Diceros bicornis minor: one gene and its partners. The protein of the gene in region 2 purifies or fractionates together with the protein of the main gene of each other region. This does not show direct contact. Links are inferred from orthologs where the notes say so. Each region holds a gene or a part of one and is shown on either strand. Other genes may lie near its edges.

Region 1 (7,973 bases), on a different chromosome or scaffold from region 2:
CATCATTAACTATCAGGGAAATGCAAATCAAAACTACAATGAGATATGACCTAACTCCCGTCAGAATGGCTATAACTAACAACACAGGAAACAACAAGTGTTGGACAGAAGGGAACTCTCATACACTGCTTGTGGGAGTGCAAACTGGTGCAGCCACTACGGAAAACAGTATGAAGGTTCCGCAAAAAATTAAGGATAGAACTACCATATAATCCAGCTATTCCACTGCTGGGTATTTACCCAAAGAACATAAAATCACGAATGCATAAAGATATATGCACCCGTATGTTCATTGCAGCGTTATTCACAATAGCCAAGACTTGGAAGCAACCTAGTGCCCATCAAGGGACGAATGGATAAAGAAGATGTGGTATATATACACAATGGAATACTATTCAGCCATAAGAAATGAGGAACTCCAGCCATTTGTGACAACATGGATGGACCTTGAGGGTATTATGCTAAGCAAAATAAGTCAGAGGGATTAGGTCAAATACTGTATGATCTCATTCATATATAGTAGATAAAAACAACAACAAACACAAAGAGACAGAGAGTGGATTGGTGGTTACCAGAGGGGAAGAGGGGAGGCAGGAGTGTGAAAGGGGTGACTAGGCATATGTGTGTGGTGATGGATTGTAATTAGTCTTTGGGTGGTGAACATGATGTAATCTACACAGAATTTGAAATATAATGATGTACACTCAAAATTTATATAAGGTTATAAACCTATGTTACTACAATAAAAATTATAAATAGAAGAAAATATAATTACCAAAAAAAAAAAAGAGGTGCCAGCCCTGTTGCCTAGTAGTTAAAGTTCCGTGTGCTCCTCTTCGGCAGCCTGAGTTCGCAGGTTCAGATCCTGGGCACAGACGTACACTACTAGTCAGCCATGCTGTGGTGGCATCCCACATACAAAATAGAGGGAGACTGGCACAGACATTAGCTCCAGGCTAATCTTCCTCAAGCAAAAAAAAAAAGAGGATGATTGGCAGCAGATGTTAGCTCAGGGTGAATCTTCCTCAGCAAAAAAAAAAGATGAAGAAGCTTTTTATTTCTTGTTTGTTTTCATAAGGAAGGATATTTATGATATATTGTTCAATGAAAAACAAGCAAGGTGAACAGGTATATAGTGTGGTACTAATTACATGAAAGAGAGACATTATATATATATATATATACACATATATTTGTTTCATATATACTAATAACTTTTTATTGAAGTATAGCATATACATGTACAGAGAAAAGTACACATTAAGTGTAACCTTAAAGAATGTTCATAAACTGAACGCACCCGTGTAACTGGCACGTAGAGTTTAGGTCCTAGATCAAGAAACAGAACATTACTATCATCCCAGGCGTCCCATCATGTCCCTTTTAGTCACTACCTCCACCCTACAAGAGTGGCCACTATTGTGATTTCTAAAAGTATAGGTTAGTTTTGTTAACTTTTGTACTTAATAGAAATGTAGTCATACAATATGTACTCTTCTGTGTCTGGCTTTTTTAATCCAACATTATATTTGTGTGATTCATCAATATTGTCATACACTGTTCAATCTCACTGCTGTTTAGTATTCCATTGTATAAATGTGCCACAATTTATTAACCCATTCTACTGTTTATGGGTATTTAGGTAATTTCCAGTTGGAAGCTATTATAAATACCACAGCTACGAACATTCTAGTATATGCATATACGTGTCCACATACCTAGGAGAGAGTGATAAGATCTGCATAACTGCAATTTTAATAGTAACTGCCATACGGTTTACAAAATTGATTGTACCAATTGACACTCCCATCAGCACTGTACAAGAGTTCCAATTGTTACAAATCCTCACTCACACTTGGTATCTGTCTTTTTAATTTTATTCTTGTATTTGTGTAGTGATCTTGCATTGTGGTTTTAACTTGTACTTCTCTGATGACTAATGATGTTGAATATATTTTCATCTTCATTTGCTATTTAGATATCACCCTTTGTGAGGTGTCTAGGTCTTCTGCCCAATTTTCTATTGTATTGTCTGTCTTCTACACTTTTAAATTTTGAAACGTGAATATATTATTTATTTTTTTAAAAGTACATTTAAAAGTAATGCAATTAAAAATATAAATAAATTTTATAGAGCTCTATGATGCATGCTCTCTCCTTCTTAGAGATTTACAATATACCAGTATTTCAAAAGCTCTGAAAAGTCTTAAAGTTTCACCACCATGGAACAGTTTGGAGAAATGCTGCTTCCATTCTTGTATAATTTTTATTTTTCATGGAATTAATAATTGCCTTTTTTTCACTTTCTTAGATTTTAAGTTCTCTCTCCACGTATTTCATTAGATATATCCAACACCTATCAATATAATTTCCCAAATATTCAAAATTAATCTATAAATTCAATTATTTTAGAGTTTTTCTTCTTGGAGTCTGTCATCTTCCTGCTCCAGTGAAAATAAGTTGCTCTCCAATTCTGCTACATATCTTTCATTCTGGGGTTTCCCTTTCCATTCTTCTGGTCCTGTTTTCTGGATCTCATGTCTCTCTCTTTTGTGTGTGTGTGTGTGAGAGGAAGATCAGCCCTGAGCTAACATCCATGCTAATCCTCCTCTTTTTGCTGAGGAAGACCAGCTCTGCGCTAACATCTATTGCCAATCCTTCTCCTTTTTTTCCCCCAAAGCCCCAGTAGATAGTTGTATGTCATAGTTGCACATCCTTCTAGTTGCTGTATGTGGAACGCGGCCTCAGCATGGCCGGAGAAGCGGTGCGGCGGTGCATGCCCGGGATCCCAACCCCGGTCACCAGTAGCAGAGCGTGCGCACTTAACCGCTAAGCCATGGGGCCGGCCCTCTCTGTTTCTTAACTTACTCCCATATTTTGTTGGAGCACAGCCTCTAGTAGCTTTCTTTAAAAAAAAAAAAAACGGGGGGGGGGGCGACCCGTGGCTTGGCGGTTAAGTGCGAGTGCTCCGCTACTGGCCACCCGGGTTCGGATCCCAGGCGCACACAGACTCACCGCTTCTCTGGCCATGCTGAGGCGGCATCCCACATATAGCAACTAGAAGGATGTGCAACTATGACATACAACTATGTACTAGGGCTTTGGGGAGAAAAAGGGAAAAAAAGGAGGAGGATTGGCAATAGATGTTAGCTCACGGCAGGTCTTCCTCAGCAAAAAGAGGATTAGCACTGATGTTAGCTCAGGGCTGACCTTCCTCAAAAAAAAAAAAATAAATAAAAAGTGGATGGATGGAAAGTAAATGTTTGCATCCTTGTATATATCAAAATGTTTTTATTCTGCTCTTATACTTGGGTAGTTTGAGCGACTACAGCATTCTAGGTTGGAAGTTATTGTCCTTCAAAACTTTGAAGAAATTTCACTTCAGTGTTTTAGCATAAAAGTGTTATTGTTGAGAAATCCAATGCCACTCTAATTCTCATCCCTTTATTCTTGTTTCTTCCCTCTGAAAACTTTTAGAATCTTTTATTCTTAGTGTCTGACCTTTTTAATGATGTGCTTTAATACAGGTCTTTTTTCATTCACTGTAGGTACCTGTTGGCCCCTTTCAATATGGAGACCCCTGTCCTTCCATCCTGGCAAAATTTCTTGAATTATTATTTGGGTCATTCCCTCCCTGTTTACTTTTTGTTCTCTTTTTCTGCAACTCTTAGTTTGTTAACTGAGTGGTTGAATGAGTGAATTGGAAATCGGATACAAAGTATCCAGTCATATCTTTAAAGCTAAGCCTTTTATTTTAAACGATCAAAATTTTTTAAATACACTATTTCATTACAACTTCCCACTGCATATTGTGAAAAGTAACACTGCTACTGTCATTTCAGGCAATACAAAAATACAGGAAGCATTCGTTCTCTGTAGGCGGAAAACCTCCACTCGCCTCAGGCATTCCTTATTACTGTTGCCTCAGAACTCATTAAATGCCCAGCATGGACTTGGTATTGTATATAATATTTGCAGTCACATCCTACAAAATAGTCATCTAAGTAGAAACGTGTTTGCTTAAACTAAAAAGATGGAACTATGTTTGCAGTCTTTTTTTTTGGTTGGCATTAAACACTGATTGCATTTCTCCCGGACCTATAAGAAATTTTTGCAGTCTTATTTGGAGTCAGACGGCTGGATTCTCTAGAGGTTATTTTTCAATCTCCGTATGTAATTACGAACATAAGATAGAAGACGAGAGAGACAAGCCAGTCCCTAGTAGAGGAGCACGTAACAGGAGCTAGACCCCTGAACCTGCTGCCCGGGTTGAACTCCGAAAGCGCTATCATCGCCCTTCCCTCTTGAACTAACTGAGGGCGAAAGAAGGCTGGGTCCAGGGAGACATGTGAATGAACGTACACCCTTCGTGCCTCGCGGGGCTCAGGAAGCGGAAAGCCCTGGAAGTCCGACGCTCCCTCCAGGCGCTCGCCGCGCACGCGCGCATCGGGACTCCGGCGCCCTCCCCTGGCGCCCCCGCCCCCCTCTCCCGGGTTTCCCGACTCCCCCAAGACGCGCGGCCCAGCGCCCGCGTGAGGGCCCGCTGACCAAAGTAGGCTGCTGCGGGAGCCTTCCCCAGAGGGACGCTTCGCCACACCCGGGGAGTTGGGGAGAGGAGACCGGAGGAGCGCTTCCGGCCCCGCCCGCCCCTGACACCCGGCCCGAGCCCGCCGCCGCAGCGGCCCTCCCGCGCAGTGACCGCCGCGGACGCCGCCTGAGGAGCGGGAGGGCGGAGCTCCGGCGGCCGGCGGGCCCTCCCGCGCAGTGGCCGCCGCGGACGCCGCCTGAGGAGCGGGAGGGCGGAGTCGGGCGGCCAGGCCGAACGGCCGGGGAGGCCGTCCGGAGAGGAGGCTCCTCCCGCGCGCGCCGCCGCAGAGCCGACCCCGTCTCCGAGCTGGGGAGCCGCTCTGGCGCCGGAAACCGCGGCCGCGGGGCCGGGCGGCCTCGTGACCTGGCGTCGGCGGCAGGGCGGGCCGCGCCGGCCGAGGACCGCGGGAGCTGCGGACGGCGGCGGCGGCTGAGCGCCAGACCATGGACGGGGACGCCATCTGCAGCGCCCTGCCCACCGTCCCCTACCACAAGCTCGCCGACCTGCGCTACCTGAGCCGCGGCGCGTCGGGCACCGTGTCGGCGGCCCGCCACGCGGACTGGCGCGTTCAGGTGGCGGTGAAGCACCTGCACATCCACACCCCGCTGCTCGCCAGGTAGGGCGCTCCCGCGGCGCGCGGCCGCGCCGAGCTCGGCTGCCTGCCCTCCCGCCACGCCGGCCCCGGGCGGGCCGGCTCTAGACCCCAAGCGGGACCACTTGGGTCGGCGCCAGCCCTCCACCTCCAGGCAGTCCTTCGAGGCTTGGGGCTGGCCTGGTGGGCAGAGCCGGCTTCTCGGGAGATGCGGCAGTCGCACTCTTCCGCTCGTCTCTCTTCTCCTCTGTGCTCTTTCCCTCGCACTCTGCTGCGCCCTCTCTCTCCGTACACCAAAAATCGGCAGTCACGGCCCAACTCGAAACGTCCTCTCGGTTGACGTTGATGTGTGTTCATATAGTGAGTGCGGGTTTTGCCTGCTTTGGTTTTTTCCTTTTTTTTCCGCTTTGAAATCGGGCTCTAGGGCTGCGCCGCCCGGTAGGTAGCTGTTAGCCACAAGTGGCTCTTGAGCCCTTGAAATGTGGCCCTCGGAACCGAAATGTGCTATTAGTGTAAAATACACACCGAATTTCGAGCACTTAGTACTAAAAAAAAAAAAAGAATTTATAGTATCTCATTTAAACTTTTATGTTGTTAGCATACTGAGATGATATTTTTGATATATTGGGCTAAATATAAGATATTGTTAAAATTCACGTGTTTCTTTTTTTTATGTTGCCACTGTAAAATTTAAAATTGTACATGTGGGTCACATTGTATTTTTATTGAACAGTGCTCCTCGAGTCTGGGATGTTTTGGTTTGGGCTTTTTGTTGTTGTTTTTGTTTGGTTTGTGGTTTATCACGGGTAGTTATCTAAGTTTAGATACCAAATTCAACATAGCAGGTTAGTTTCGGCTTGCACTCTCATAGGCAAGTCTGTCCCAAGAGGAAATGTGTTTTGTTTTTGCTAACAATAAACTGAATCGGAAGACTGTTAAATGACCAAAAATTTTGATTGTCTCTCACATCCTGGAACCATTTTAGTGCACTGTACGGGTTTGAAGGGAAGGCTAGTATTAGTTTCTATTTCCAGAAAAACATTTCGACCATATACCGTGACTGTACGTGTTAGTCAGTGGGACTAGTCACTAGTCTTGTGTGTTTTCCTACCGATAGGGATTTAACTAGACCCTGCATTCATTTATTAGTGAGTTAACCTCCTTGACTGCAACATTCTCCTCTCCTCCCCTTAAGTGTAGTGTGAAAATACATCTCGCTAGATGCCTGATTGGCCGGAGGCTGTTGGTATCCAATATCAGGTAGATTCCTCAGCTTCAACCCTGACAGTGTTAACTGAACTTTAATCTGCCTGTGGCTTTTCTTTGCTGTCTCTTGCTGTCAAGCTTGGATGGGCTAGATCTCACAGTAGACTTGAGACACTTGTAGAGATTGGTCCCACATTTTTTAGACCATAATCCAGATCTCGTGACCTGTATACAGGGTATAGTGTCTGTTTACCCTGGACCTTGAATTCTGGGGAGCAAGTGCTGGGCAAGCATGTGTGTGTGTCTATGACTACATAATCAACTTTGAAGAGTGGTGGTTGGTTAGAGAGGGTGGATATATTTTATACTTATACGCAAATATATGGAAATCTAGCATTGTAGGACCTATTAGGTATTCTAAAGCAAATTGATCCTCCCATTTTGGATGCTGCGTCTCAAGATTTTAATTTATCTAGGTTTTGTGCCATTTGGGAGCCAAGGAATGGAGTTCCCTTACTATACTCATTAACAATTTTCATAATCTAAAATTCTTTGCTAAATTGGGTGAGGGAGGTAATTCTGTTGTCAAAGAATCCATAAAAACCAGTGGAACACTGGCATTACTGCATCATGTCCTTTTCTCCTTCTTGTTACCTAGATGTTACCATTAGCAGTATTTATGTAGTCTGAGCATAGGGCTGAGCTATGCAGTTGACTCACAGGGTGTCTATTTCCTGACTTATAAAGTGGAAATGATAAATACATGTGCGTCTTGGGCTCTGGTGCAGATAATGTTTGCATTGTTCTTTGGGATCACCTGAAAAAAAAAAAAGTTTCTGTGCTGTTACATGTTATTTTAGTGATGGCTGACTTCTGCTCGATGAGTAGACCTTCCAGCAATCTCCCAACTCCTTATGAGTAGATGAGTCTGATCAGTTGTTCAAACACCCTGTAGATGATGTAACTGTTTTTTGACTGAAATTTTGAGTTGGGTAATTTTGGTGATATGTCTACAGACGGTATATTTTACATTTTTATTTTTAAAAATACAAAAACATTTTTATGTTGGCTCAAACACTCAAAAAAATGAGTGTTTTCCCACTCATTCAATCTTCCCAAAATTTGACTTCAAGAACTTTCTTTCTTCTCTGATTAAGCAGTGGAATGGAAACAAGACAGGTTTTTGAGTCCCACTATTGCAGTTCAAATCTGACTCCAACCCTACAACTTATTTTTGGCATGACCATTGGAAAATTATTAGTTTATCTGAGCCCAAGTGCCCTTATGTATAAAGTGGGGATAATGAAACCAACTTTAGAGGGCTGATCTTTTAGAATGATAGTACATATAAAGTGGCTGACACATAATAGGATCACAAGAGAAGGAAGAATGCCTCATGCTCGTAATGTGAGGAGGAAAGAGTGTAGTATTAGGTATCACTGAGACTTGCCCAGCATGCCCTTTCTGTAGTTCTTTCTCAGAGGAGCCAGGAATCTTCAGGTGGATCCTGTCTCCCTGCGAGGATGCTACACAATAACTTGTCTGTTGACCTGTGTCTCTTGATGCAAGTACAGAATTGTTTCAACT
Region 2 (7,368 bases):
AAATATCCAGCCCAGTACACTTTTCACCACTCCACACTGCCCTTACCACTTCTTGCAACCTAGTCCCCAATGTACATACCTTACAATTTATTCTAACATTTTCTACACTCTGATCCAGAATGGTAAAAACTAAATGATTTAAAAAAAAAAAAATCTACGTATGTTTCTGAGGCTGAGACCTTACATAACTGGATATCAGAACTGAATTTAGGAAGTGTCATGCTGATATTACTGAGTCACAACATTAGGAATTTAAGGATTAAAATCAGCTGATGCCTAAAAAATATGCATCTACCAAATGACTGCAAATTTGGTCTGTGGTTGGAGTTTTTTTCTTACATAGTTTCTAACTGAATTGATATAACGCTGATTCAATTACATTGTTATCTGAAAAATACAGAATACAATTTTCTTTATTTATAGGCAATATATTTGCACCATACAAAATACTGCAAACCTTGTAAAATACTTTTTGTTTCTGGTCATCTTCCTCTATTCTCTTATTCATGATTTTAACCTAGAAGCAGATTCTAAGTTGAGAAATAGTTACCGAGTGCCCACGGTGAACCCTGGATCATATAACACTGTTTTAATGTATGCAAATGATGATGGAAATTATGTAATAGTCTCAACATTAGAAAGATCCAAATTCAATCTTTAAAGTGAAAATAAACTGGCATTAAAAAATGAAAAAAACACAGCTAAATGACTGTCTAATATTAGAAATTTTCATCTAAAACCAAAAATCTACTCCCCAGGAATGTCCTAAATATACCAAAGACGGGTTGAAACATTGTCTAAACTGAAAGAGGGTCTTTGGAAACATAAAAATCTAATCAGAAGTTAAATGGCTTTGGTGGAAGAGCAACAAAATGATAATTGTCTCCTTAGTAACTTTCATTCTTCCAAGAAGCAAGAAGGTAAACGCTTTAGAAAGTAGTGTGTGGAAAACCAACCTTGTAAGACTCAAATAATGTAAGTCTGTGAAAGCATTTGGTAGACTATGAAGCACAAGTTATTATTATATAACAATTTGTAGTCTACAAGCACAGCAGTTCGCCACAGAGTAGACGTAAATGCTTATTTAAAAACTGCAATTCTTTTATACTGACTCACTGAATTTTTATTCTTAAAAAAGAAAGAATGTTAGCCACGAAAGCTGGATCAACTATCCACTTCTGAAAAAGGAATTTATCCTCAATAGAATTTAGCCTCAATAGAAAACACACACACACACACACACACACAAATTGCCCCCTTTTCAAAACACAGGTCCTTCTTTTAGCCATGTGACCTTAAAGCAGGTCAATGTTCCTCTCTGGAACTGTTTCTTAGTAATATGTGTCAAGCACTGTGTTTTGCACATATTGCCTAATAGGATCTATTATACACATAAAATGAAATAGAAATTATTATCCCTATTTTACAGTTATGGAAACCAAGGCTCAAAGGGGTTAGTTAGGAACCTTGCTCCAAATCACACAGCTAATAAGTGGCATAGCTGATATTCTGAACCTTCCTTTAACTTTAAAGGCCTCACTCTTCCCACTTACACTACCTTGTAAAATGAGGTTGTTCTCAGTGATCTCTAAGGTTACTTTATGCAATAAAAAAATACGACTGAGTAATCCATTATTCTTCCAAAACCCGCATAGAAAAAAATTTATTTATTGAATGATAACTATCCCATTACTTTTAGTTTGCCACTACCTAAAAATAATTTTGAACTTTTAAAGTAGAGATAACTCTTTGAGAGTCTACAAAAGAGAACATACAGGGTTCTTTATGGCATACGTTATGTAAAGTGCTTAATATATTTTAAAAATGATAAATAAATGGTAACTGATAGATACTATTTTCAACCAAAGTTTTAACACTTTCTGAAGTGTATCTTTAAAACATATAGTTTTTACTTTTCTAAATTTTATGGTTCTTAGAAACAGTCTACTTCTCTGTGAATCTGAAAAGAAGGGACGTATTAAAGGCACATATTACTTTGCTCTAAAATAACTTAAGGATGGATTCGGATTTTCTAACAGCGATTTCTGTCTGTTATGTTCTGGTTGTCACCGAAATCATTAGTTGGCTCTTCAGAACATGCTACTCGAGACATCTTTCCTTCTAGACCAGTCTACATTATTAATGGTGAAATTCATCTAAATTAGTCCAATTGATGGCAGAACATTTAATATTACAGCTACTGCTCTATGGAAACAGCGAAACAGAACCGTTCGGTACCCGGGGAAACACTTTACTAGACATGGTGATGTGCTAATTTACCAAACACTTATTGAGCATCCACTACGTTCTAGGCACCGAGCTAGGAGTCGAAGAGAATACAATCCTTGGTCCTTAAGAACACCACGTCGTAGTGAGCTGAAACTCCAAAACGGCCACGGTCTTTGACGAATTTACTACTTAGAGACATGGGAACTGGTGGACCACACTACCTCACCAGTCCATCCTCCTGTTTGAGATGACCCAAATCCAGGCACCAGAATATCAAATCCAAACTCAAGAGTGCCGAAGTGAGGAAAAAAGAGAGCTATCGGGGAGCAGCTGAACGCGGAGAGTTCCCTCTATACCCGGTCTCTGTGGGGACTCCGGGGTGGACCCTGCGGGGCCCAGAGGATCAGAGGGGCCGGGGAGGCGCCTTAAGAGTCGGGACCAGGCAGAGGCGGGGACAGGCCGGGGCCGGAGCCCCGTGCCAGGCCTCGCTCACCTCTTCCACCTCGATCTCCTTGTAGTCGATCTCTTCAAAGTTGAGGACTTGGGTGGGTGCTTCGATCATCTCACCGGCCGAAGACGAGGAGGAGGAGGAAGCGGCGGAGGCTGTAGACATGATCCCTTGTGGAGCCCGGGGGGCCCGGGGAGGCTGCCGCCCGGACACTCCGGGGGAGACCCGCGCCCACCCGCCTCCGGACCGACCTTCAGCCTGGAGCCACGGCGATCCGCGGCGGGGACAGAAGCAGCGGCCACAGCCGAGTCCCGGCTCCGGCTCCGCTGCGTTTTCCGCCGCCGGGCCCCGCCCACTAGACTTCCGGTTCCGGCCTGAAATCGGAAACAGGAGGAGGGCCGTGAGCTCAAGGGAGGGGAGGGGAGAATTTTGTGATTGAGCCAGAGAAAGGAAGGACAGGTTGGGGGTGTGGTAGGGGAGGGTGAGAGGCTATCTTGGGCCTGTAGAACAAATTTCGCGAGATCTTTGTTAAAGGGCCTCAGCAACCGGATGATACCGCGAGAGCTGACGAAGTGTCGTAATTAAAATGCGCGAACGGAAGTGGCGCGGAGGACGACGGGATATTGGTGCGGTTGGTCCTTTAGCAACCCGCGGGAAAGATAAAAGCTACGTTTTTAACTTTGCTTCGTGAACTACGTTAAGGCCCCGCTTCCTCTTCTCTCAGAGACCTGCAGACGGACGGGGTGGTGTTGGACTGAGTTTTTGTGACGAAGCTTAGTTTTCAGCTAAGCTAAAAGTAAGCTAAGCAGAACTGTTTCTTTAAGAAGCCTTGGAAAATGTGTTTCCCTCAATGTGGTATATGGAAGGAAGCGGTTGCTACTGTTACTTTGAGCCAGGTTGCTATTGTTACTTTGACGCTATCAGATTCTAAAGCAAATAATACAGAGCGAGCCACTGCATGTAACCTGAATAACACTACGAAGGCTGAGTACTCACGAATAGAAGTTAATATTAGGTAAGGGAGATATTTGTAATTTGGCATAATTTGTGTTCATCTGAAGTTATGGGTTATATTAACAGTACGTATCGAGTGCAGAGCACTGTGCTAGATGCTGTGCATTTATAACTTAATCATTAACAAAGGCCTTGCAAAATAATATATATTTTTTCCATTTTCAGGACATGAGAAATTAGGCTCAGAGAGGTTAAAACAATTATGATTCTCACAAGCTGGTAGAACCTGTCAGTATATCTCCGGATAGTATTGCCTGTGTTGTGCTATCAACACAGTTTTTAGTTTTAAACTAAATGTTAGTTTTTATTTAGTCGGTTTGACCTAAAGACTAACTGGGAAAATTGGAGTTCGAAATGAAGGTTTAAGGACCCAAGGTGAAAGCCTGTGAATATCAAAATCTGAATCTCAGTAAGAGACCAAAAAGGAACAGATAGGGAGATAGTCAGGGGAATGATGATCCAAATATCACTGGAGGAGAGCTTTCTTGTTAAAGAGCAGCCAACCAAATAAATGCTGTACAGAAGTAAGTTAAACACATTTGGGTTAGCAAATAGGTCATTTGACTTGGCGATCAAGAGGTTATGAACTCCTGGAATACATTGTCTTTCTTCATTCATGGTTCTAGTAACACTCAATGATAGTTTGGTGAATGGATAAAAGAATGAAAGAAAGAATAATTTCTTTTCACTGTACACTCTCTGGATGATCTTACCCAAGATCTTGACCACCTATACTGCTTATATGATGATAACTCCCAATCTCTCCCATTACTCAAATTTTTCATGAATTCTGGACTTATTGGACATCTCTATTTAGATATAACATAAACACCAAAACTTGAAGATTCCAAAAAAAAATTGAAGTTACCACCCACCACAAATACATTCTTCCGTGCGCATTTTCTGTCTTCGTGAAGGATCCCATCATCTACTCAGTTGTCCAAGTGGGAAATCAGGGCTTTATTTCTGCATGTAAAACGATGGTTAGGGCACTGATAACCAAATAGAACCAGATTAAGTCAATGGGATAACCATTTTTATCTGTCATTTCTCTACTTGAATTCCCAAACTAGGATGGTCACCTCTTAACCTTGTGCTATCACTCTGTGCGTCATATCTGATTTCTCTTTACCACCTTGATGTTAATACAGTGGATGCTATCAAGTGGGAACTCAAGAAATATTTGTTATATATTCTGGATGAATGAATAGCTTTTGTCAGTCCTTCGTTTCCCTGGAGTGCAAGATCTGTTTTGTATACCTTCAGTTTAGGACTAGAATCCTGCTGAGAAGGGACTAATCACTACAGCCCTGATGTTGTTCTCCTGCTTGGTGTTCCCACAACATTTTATGAAAAGTATCAAACATACAAAAGTTGAAAGAATTTTACAGTGAACACCTATGTACTTAGCAAGAATATTCTACCATTAACATTCTAGTATACTTGCTTTATCATATACCTGTCCATCTGTCCATCCACCCATACAAACATACATTTATCTTTTTTGATTGAATGCATTTCAAAGTGGATTTCCTGCATGATTTTGACCGTCTACCCCAATACTTCTACTTTTGTGTTTTATCCACTGATTTCGACTTCTGATATTGATACTAGTTTAAAATCAATTCTTGTCCTATTTGCTTGCAGACCACCCTTTTTTTGGTCTGCATGGTGCCTTTTCACTAGCTTCTGATAATAAAATCCCAGCAATGTTCATGTCTGTGAATCCAGTCATCCCCCAAATGCAGTCTACCTCTTCCATTCTGTGATTGATTATGTGAGCTGGTAAATTCCCATTTTTTCGTTTAAGCTGATTCGAGTTGTATTTTTGTCACTTGCAATCAAACAATCCTAAGTAATACAGTTTGAATCCAGAGAAATGAGGGAAGGGAGCTGAACCCATTTTAGTTCACCCCAGTTTTGACTTTGCATCCCCTTTAACTTCTTCAGCTTTCATGAGTTAAGGATGGAAGCTTGGACGTCACAATTTCATGTCAACTTCAGTCACCAGTCTATTGTGTCTCTACAAATTTCCAGAGATACATATCAAGCTATTTAAGTGGTCTTTAAGTCCCTCCCAGTTTGATCACTCTCCACCACCCACCCTCATGTTAATGTCCTAATAACTACTCTAACCTTCAACTCTGTCTTCAATTTTAACACTTTTATACTATCCAGGGGATGAGGGCCAAGAGTTTCAAAATCCATTTCCCAACATCTCTGAATGTTCTAAATGGGATTCTCATCCTATTTGCCTCATTTTGGATATAAGGACACCTGGCACCTGTTTTCATGGAGACTTAGCAGAAACAGATTAAAATAGTTCCACTTTAAAGTTCTGTTGCATTGGCGTGTGTAATACATTTAGATTAACTTTAGATAAAGTGTTTCCTATTTTATCAGTCAGTATCACTTTTGTTATAAGTAACAGGAAACTCAACACATAATACTTGAAACAATAAAGGGGATTTATTGGCTTAGTTAAGTGGAAAGTCAAGAGGTAGAAGAGGCTTCAGGTGTCTTGATTCATAAACTTAATGTTAGCATCAAAAATTGAGTTTCCATTGTCTTCTGCCTTTTGTGGTATGTGCCATTGCTCTAGAACAGTGTTTCTCAACTTTTGTTTTCATTATTGCCCCCCGGCTCCAGGAGCCTTTTAAGGTTGTTTTAAATGCCTTCCCAAAGTTTTAATACCACGGATATACTGTGTATCTGTTTATGTACTGTATGCATATTTATGCTTTATACATAAAAAGTGTTGTTTTTTTCTCTCCTTAATTTTCACCGCCTTGGAGGTGATATCATCCCCATTGAGAACGCACGTTCCAGCAGTTTCATTTTTCATATGACATGTCACACTGTCCAGTACAATAACAGAGAGCATCTTTTGGTAGCTATCTCAGAAGAGCAAAGAACTTTCTTTTTCAAAAGCCCTTGACAACTGTACCCTTGAGTGAGGAATGGGGAACAGGAGAGTTGAGGTTGCAAATATCTTGTTTAGTTTAGATCCAGGACTGAGAAAACATGGACTTTGAGAAGGAGGAGCTGCTAACTACAAGAAAAATCTGAAGACTCTTAGGAAGGGCAAAGCAGGGAATGGTTGCTGGGTATACAGTCAACAAATGTTCATTATTCATATGTCTATTCAGGTTGAGCTCTATACCTAGAAAGTGCTGTCTTTACTGCTTGTCCCAGAACCAAACTAGCCCAACTCAATCAAATATTATTCTTTCCAGGAAGTTCAGAAATAGTTTTCTGCTGTACTATATTCAAAACTGCAGTACACAGAGGATAGCCAACCCCTTAGCAATTCAGTGACACTGCTGGAGAGCAGCTCCCCAAATTCCTGCATTTCTTTGATATTTGAGTTCATTCCAAATTTTCTACTCCCCACATCTTCATCTTAGGTCTTTTGCAGCCCATGGAGCTGCTGGAAGGATTTGTGTTCCAGGTACCAACAATGTGGCTAGTAAGAGTAGGCCTGCGAAAGTGGAGTAGAGGCTTCTGGCAGGTGCAGCTTCAGGGCATTCTCTGACATTGCATATAGCTGAAACTTCTGTTTGCAGCTAATGTTCTTTTTTTCCGCCTCAACCAAGCTAGCTGCAGGGTAACTGCTTTGGTGGTGCCATGTGTCCTGCAGATAAAATCTCCATCATTGATTTTGAAATACTTGATAT
Region 3 (6,899 bases), on a different chromosome or scaffold from region 2:
GGGGGCACTGCTTTAGGGGGCCCAGGCAGGGGATGGTCTAGGCAGGCTGTCCCTCTGCTTAATGTCACATGGGAAGTGGCTTCCTTGGGCCACTGCCCCCATTCCAAGAGCCCTTGACCCTCAGAGCAGGTTTCATTAAAAACATTTCTTTGCCTTCGCCGGGGGAGCAGCTGAAGCCACACAGAGGCAGGGTAGAGGAGGGAAGTGTCCAGAGAATGCTCCAGTCAGCCCTTCCATCCATCCATCATTCAGTGTCTGCCCCGCCTTCCACACCTGCGCTGCCGTCAGACCAGATAGATCTGAGGGGTTCCGCAGGGGAAGAACCACACCCATATGCTGCCCCCTCTCCCCTGCATAGCCAGTCCTGGTGGTCTAGTGGTTAAGATTTGGCGCTGTCACCACTGCAGCCTGGGTTTGCTCCTTGGCCAGGGAACCACACCAGCCATCTGTCGGTTGTCATACTGTGGTGGCTGTGAGTTGCTGTGATGCTGAAAGCTATGCCACCGGTATTTCAATACCAGCAGGGTCACCCATGATGGACAGGTTTCAGCAGAGCTTCCAGACTAAGACAGACTAGGAAGAAGGACCTGGCCACCCACTTCTGAAAAAATTGGCCTTGAAAACCCTAGAAGAGTTGGGGCTTCTGTTTACGGGCCTTCTGTCTTCCAGAAATGCATCGCACCTGTCCACTTGATTACTTTCCTGGCACCTCTGTTAACTCATCGCCCACCGTTCTTTGCTGTCATTTCAGCAGGTTTTCAAAGAGGAGGTGAAAGTTTGTATTTAGTTCACTGTCTGGAACCAGAAGTCCTTATTCAAAGACTTTTGAATCACCTTCGTTCTGGGGTCACAGAAGAATCAAGTTTTAAAAGGACATGCCTGGGCGGGAGGGAACTTTCTGGGTAATGGTAGTGTTCTACATTATATCAACACTGTCCCATAAAAATATAACGTATAATTTTAAATTTTCTAGTAGCACCATTAAAAAAGAAATGTGAAATTCATTTTAAATTTTATTTATTTATTTATTTTTTCCCCCAAAGCCCCAGTAGATAGTTGTATGTCATAGTTGCACATCCTTCTAGTTGCTGTATGTGCGACGCGGCCTCAGCATAGCTGGACAAGCGGTGCGTCGGTGCGCGGCCGGGATCCGAACCCGGGCCGCCATCAGCAGAGCGGGCACACTCAACCGCTAAGCCACGGGGCCGGCCCTGAAATTCATTTTAATAATTTATTTTATTTAACCCAACATATCCAGAATATTATTTCAACATCCAATCAATATCAAAATTACGAATGAGAGGTTTTGCATTCTTTTTTACATACCATGTCTTCAAAATCTGGTGTGTCTTTTATACTTATAGCACCTCAATTCAGACACTAAATTTTCCTTGAAAATGTTTGACCTGTACTTAGATTTTGTAAAATTTACAGATGAAAAAGTAGATTAATATACTCAAATTGCTCTCAACATACTTAAAATTTTCCAATAACAGAATCAAATGTCAGTTTTAGATTTTAATTAAAATTAAATGGAATTTAAAATTTGGTTCCTTATTCACACCAGCCACATGTCAAGTATTCAACAGCCAGTCGTGATCAGCGGCTGCTACATTGGACCACACTGTTCTATATCTTCACAAGGATTTTGGTTACACAGTATAGACATTCGTCAAAACTCATTTCATGATGTAGTTAAAATCTGTATGTAAATTTTACCTAAAAAAATCTCTCTAAGTAATGATATGCATGACGAAGGATTTAAAGGTGAAGTACGTTGATGTCTTCAACTTACTTAGAAATGCATCCAAAAAAAAAAAAAAAAAAAGACGGATTGATGGCTAGAGGGATAGATGGACAGATATGTGATAAATTTGGCTATAAATATAGCCAAATGTTCACTGTAGAACTAGGTGGTGGGATATATGGGTATTCACTATACAATCCTTCTAACTCTTCTGAATGTTAAATTCTAAGGTGTTGGGGAGAGAGAGACATGTCTTCAATGAACTATACCTGCTTGTAACCCCACCACTAAATCTGAAAAACATGATGTTGGGTGAAAGAAGCCAGACCCAAAAGAGAATCCACGTATGGCTCCGTTTATATAGTTTTTGAACTTTACAGGCAAGATATCAGATAGAACCGATCTATGCTGTTAGAGATCAGAATGTGATTATCCTTGGTGTGGGGGAGGCGGTGACTAGAAGGGGGTGTAAGGGGGAGTTCTGGGGTTCAGACAAAGTCCTATGTTTTGCTATGGGTGGCGGTCACGTGGGTGTGTTGGTTTTGTGAAAATTCATCAAGCTTTTTGCAGAATTTGTGCACTTAACTGTGTATATCTCTCCATAATCAGTTTTGTTGCTGTTTTAAGGCATGCCTACCCTTCATATCCTGCATGAGGGAAACCAGAGTTCTCCTTCAAACCGGCACTGCCTGATTTACAGGCTTCTCGGAGTGCAAAGGAGATTTCTCCCTGGTCCCCAGGAGTCACTGGGCACGAGGATGCTGTGGGCCTTGGTATTTATTTTAGGAATTTTCCCACTTTGCAGTTCTTGATTGCGTTTTTGAACACGCTTTGCAGAAAGCAAACTTGTGTCTTCCTTAATCCCTGGCGGGTGTGCATTAGTACAGCCTGGCTCCTCAAAATTGCCAGGACTGTGAATGCTCTTGCGCTGGGGCCACACCGCTGTTAATTATTTATCTTTTTGCTTAGTGGTTGAATTTATGGAACGGCTTTCCCTCCGGGAGCTCAAGGAGCTTTTCTCAGAGAACTTAAAACACGAAACAGGAGGGTATGTTCGCTAGCTGTCATAGGGGGAATCAAAAGAGGGGGAGGAGGGTGAGAAGAGAGTGGTAAACTGAGGCAGAGCAGAAGCAGAGGTTGGGGGCTGGGGAAACGGTGGCGAATCAGCAGTCGGGAGACTAGAGCCCAAGATTCTCTGCATGTTCCCAGGTCCTCCACAGATTTTCAAGTTCAGGACTCAGATAAAACCTCGGGACTTTCCCACCCATACAGTACTTATCGTGAAAGAGTGATGCACCCAGAAGCCTACGCCATGGCTTTTGGAGGAAACTACTAAAACGACGACATCCAGAAATCAGTTTCTCCTACAAGTGTCCTTCACCAGGACTGAGAGCACTAGCAGGGGTGGCTGTGCTGGGCCGAGACAGCGGGGTGAGGAGGCTACAGGTAGACTGTCACTGTAAAGTGTCCAGAAGGGGTGTGGGAGCACCGTGGAGGATGCTGACGGCCAGGCAAGCCCCAGGAAGCTTCCAGAACAAAGGCTGAAGGAGGAAAGAGGCCTGCGGTTCCCACGCTGCGGAGTGCCTTGCTTCTCACTCCTTTGTGGGAAAAGCTTCCGCCCCAAATCGCAAAGACACAGTCTGGAAGTTCTCCAGAATGTGGCCAATTCCTCTAAAATGACAGCTGCCCAAACCTCCCACACAGAGCCTGGAGAACCCAAAACCAGGCGTCCCTTCCCAAGGCCACACCTGGGTTCTGGCAGGTTTTCTGGGCCAGGGTTAGGTGGACTTGGGGTCAGAGCTCGGTGGGGCTGACGGCCCCAGCTGGGGTCCAGCCTCACCCTGCCTGGGGCAGGTGGCCTGGCCCCTGGGGCCTGCCCGGGTCTCCCCACCCCTGGTCCACCCGTCGCCGGTCCCCGCAGCGCCCCCATCCCCGGGTCCCCCCACCACCCCCACCTCGTTACCGATGCCTCCTCCCAAGGCCCGGGACCCAAACTCCGCCCCCTCCCCCTCTTCCTTATCTCTTTTTCTAACCTTTTGCATTTTTTAGTCTCATTTCCTGTCGGGTTTTGCATTTCCCTCCCCCGCCCCTCCCAGCCTGTGACACACTTTCTCTCCTTTTTTCTCTTTTGCCTCCTCTGGCCTCCGGACTCCTGCCCGGGCTGCGCGCAGCCCCCTCCCGGCCCTGCAGCCCCTGGGCGGGCGGCGCCCCTCGGACGGTCCGGGCGGCGGGGACCGAGGGCCGGGGCGCCGGGAGGCAGCCGGCGGCCTGCGCGGAGGAGGCGCCCGCGCGGCTGGCGGAGCATGAGCGCCCCAGGTAGGCGCGGCGTCCGCGGGGGGAGGGGTGCGGGGGGAACGCGGTCGTGGTGGGGGATGCGCCTGGGGGGAGCACGGAGGCGCCGCTGGGGGGATGCCGCGCGGGGCGCCGTGGGGCGGGGGGCGCGAGTGGCTGGCCCCGCTCGCCCCCGCGGTGCTGGGCCCCCATCCCTCTCGCGCCATCTCTTTTTCCTACTTCCCCTCCTTCTCTTCACCCTTCCTTCCAAACCTTTTTCTTGCTTCCACTTTCCACCTCCCTTATCTCTCCTCCGTGTTCCTCTCGGATCGTCTGTCTCTAAGTGGCTTCCCCTGGCAAAGTCCTCGCGCCCCTCAGAGAGGACAGGGATGAGTGGGGGGTCGGGGGCAGCGGCCCGGCAGGGTGCCCCTCGGTGCACCTGCCCCAGAGGGAGGAAAAGAACCTTTTTTAACACCTGAAAGGACAGGAAGTTTCCAGACCACAGCCAGGCCTGACTCAGAGGCTCCTGAGAAGGTGGGGCCCCCGGGGGTAGGAGGGGAGAAGGACAGCCCCTCCCATGGGGAGTGACGGCAGGGGCCCGGGAGGGGCCAGAATGAGGCCCTAGTGGCCTCGGGCCTGGAGTCGCCTTCCCCGCGACACTTGCCTCCCGCAGGACACTGCCCAGGCCAGATGGCCTCGGAAGCTCTCCTGAGCTCTGGGCACAGGGAGGGGAGCTGGGTTTCTGTCCCTTTAGGGTTCAGAGCACAGTTGGAGGGGGCCACAGGGGGACAGTTATGCTGTAGGGAGCAGCCTCCCCAGCTGGGCCTGCCCCACCATCAACAGGTTTGTCGAAGCTGGTAGCTCATGAGTGTCAACAGAGGGCCACCTGCACCAACTTGGTCTTGGACCAGACTGACCTGTGTGTCCAGCCTGTTCCCAGAGCCTCTGATTTGTAGGTGAACAAGTTTCTCCTGACATTTATGACTCCTCTTGAAGGTGTAAGGTTACTGACCTACCAGAAAGGAGAAAAACGGTCAGTCACTCAGTCACTCAACAATTACCGAGCAACTACTCTGTGTGTAGTGTGTGCTGGAAATCCCGTGCGCCACTGATTGATTCGAGGACAGGCATGTAGCTCAAATGCTGCGCTTCTGTCCTTTCCCTGAATCTCCACTTCTCTCCACCCCGACGGCAGCTGTAAAGAAGTGATGGTTCCCAGGTGGGCCAGGGGTGACCTGGGGCCAAAGGGAGCCTCGGACCCAGCCTTGTCACATCCCAGAAAATGGTTTGGAGGTACGCACCCGTATCACAAAGGAAGGCTGGTAGCCCCACCCGTCCAAAGTCTTGAGTCTGCAGGTGAATGATCCTTTGTGTGATTTTTTTTAAATTGTGGTAAAATCCACATAACACAAAATTAACCATTTTTAAGTGTACAGTTCAGTGGCATTAAGAACATTCACGTTGTTGTACACTATCCATCTCCAGAACATTTTTGTATTCCCAAACGGAAACTCTGTCCCCATTAGACCCTAACTACCCCCGCCCCCATTGTACTTTCTGTCTCTATAAATCTGACTGCTTTAGCCACCTGACATAAGTGAACTCCTACAGTTTTTGTCTTTTTGTGACTGGCTTATTTCACTTAGCGTAGTGTCCTCAAGATTTATCCATGTTGGAGATGTGTCAGAATTTCCTTCCTTTTCAAGGCTGAATCATACCCCGTTGTCTGGATGGACCCTGTTGTGTTTGCCTGTTCATCCTTTGTGATCCTTTAAAGTGACTTGTAAACATAACTCTTCTTCTAAAGATGATGGGCCTTGTTTGAGTCAGTCAGTGGGCACTGTCTAGGTGGCGCTGTGCTGTGCGTCGTGGGGACACACAGAAGGAACGTGAGACCCAATGTCCCTGCCCTGAGTGGGTCGTGTGTACGGCGTGTGTGTGCTGTGATCCAAGTGTGGCTGAGACTCACGCTAGATGGGAAAGAGTTGAGGGAAGGGAGGATGGCGGGAGGCACATTAGGAGATGGTAGGACTCAGAGGGCCCAGGGATTGATAGAAGGTTCCAGGCGGAGATTGTGCTGGAAGAGCAACCTCCTGACGTCCTTCTCCACTTTCTTACGTAGTGTTTCTCCACCGCTGTGATACGAGACTTGCTTCCGGGACTGAAGGGCTGTGGCTGGTTTGGTGGCGAGGGGAGGGGGTGGAGGATAACGAGGCTGCTCCTCTGAGTATCGCTCCTCATAGTACTTCGTGCAGGAAGGCCAGATTGAGTGCCCGACGTTCAGATTATTGTGAGGGAAACGAGCGTCAGATGCTGATCGCGGAGCCTCCTCATGTCAGTTTAAAACTGCCTTTCCATCTCTCTTGCTTAGCCGCTGCACCCAGCCTCGAAGACAGTGCCTCCTGGTAATTGGGACGGGGGTCAAGTCCCAGGTGGGCCAGAATTCCCAGATGAGCCCCTGACACAGAGAGTGACTGCTGTTGCTTTGCAAAACCAGATCTGTGAAACTTGGGTTAAAAGAAAAAGTCAGGCCAAGGGAAGAAGGCAACCACCTTTTGGGTCTGTGGCTGTGTGGGAGAGTGGGAAGGAAGGTCACACTGTGGCCCTGGACATGTGTTGCAGTCTCGACTGCTCATCTGTGGTCGCCCTTTGGCCTTGGACAGACCTGTCATCACTTCAGATCTCTGAGGGTCCTTTCTCTCCAGTGAGCTCAAGGTATTAATACTGATTATTTTCAGGATTGTCAGTTACACCAAGCGTAAAATGAAAAAACATGAGATGTGACATACTCTTAACTTTGCTGTTATTCCCGAGATCTGGTTGGACGTTGAGGTCCAGACCTAGGGCGGGAATGCCACCTTTCCCACAAACACCAGCTGGG

What was found.
Region 1: the proteins of MAP3K7 (region 2) and RIPK2 purify together in Homo sapiens (affinity purification with western blotting; 4 studies listed by BioGRID). This does not show direct contact. The link is inferred for Diceros bicornis minor from reciprocal best matches to the Homo sapiens genes MAP3K7 and RIPK2.
Region 3: the proteins of MAP3K7 (region 2) and CARD11 purify together in Homo sapiens (affinity purification with western blotting; 3 studies listed by BioGRID). This does not show direct contact. The link is inferred for Diceros bicornis minor from reciprocal best matches to the Homo sapiens genes MAP3K7 and CARD11.

What each region holds. Positions count from the first base shown.
Region 1 is NC_080760.1:9,528,188-9,536,160, forward strand, and holds the start of RIPK2 (receptor-interacting serine/threonine-protein kinase 2), read left to right. Parts: upstream 1-4,955; 5' UTR 4,956-5,031; coding exon 5,032-5,204; intron 5,205-7,973.
Region 2 is NC_080762.1:42,350,046-42,357,413, reverse strand, and holds the start of MAP3K7 (mitogen-activated protein kinase kinase kinase 7), read right to left. Parts: upstream 3,023-7,368; 5' UTR 2,843-3,022; coding exon 2,723-2,842; intron 1-2,722. UniProt on the Homo sapiens protein: Serine/threonine kinase which acts as an essential component of the MAP kinase signal transduction pathway. Plays an important role in the cascades of cellular responses evoked by changes in the environment.
Region 3 is NC_080765.1:11,558,805-11,565,703, forward strand, and holds the start of CARD11 (caspase recruitment domain-containing protein 11), read left to right. Parts: upstream 1-3,881; 5' UTR 3,882-4,050; coding exon of another isoform or gene 4,051-4,063; intron 4,064-6,899. UniProt on the Homo sapiens protein: Adapter protein that plays a key role in adaptive immune response by transducing the activation of NF-kappa-B downstream of T-cell receptor (TCR) and B-cell receptor (BCR) engagement.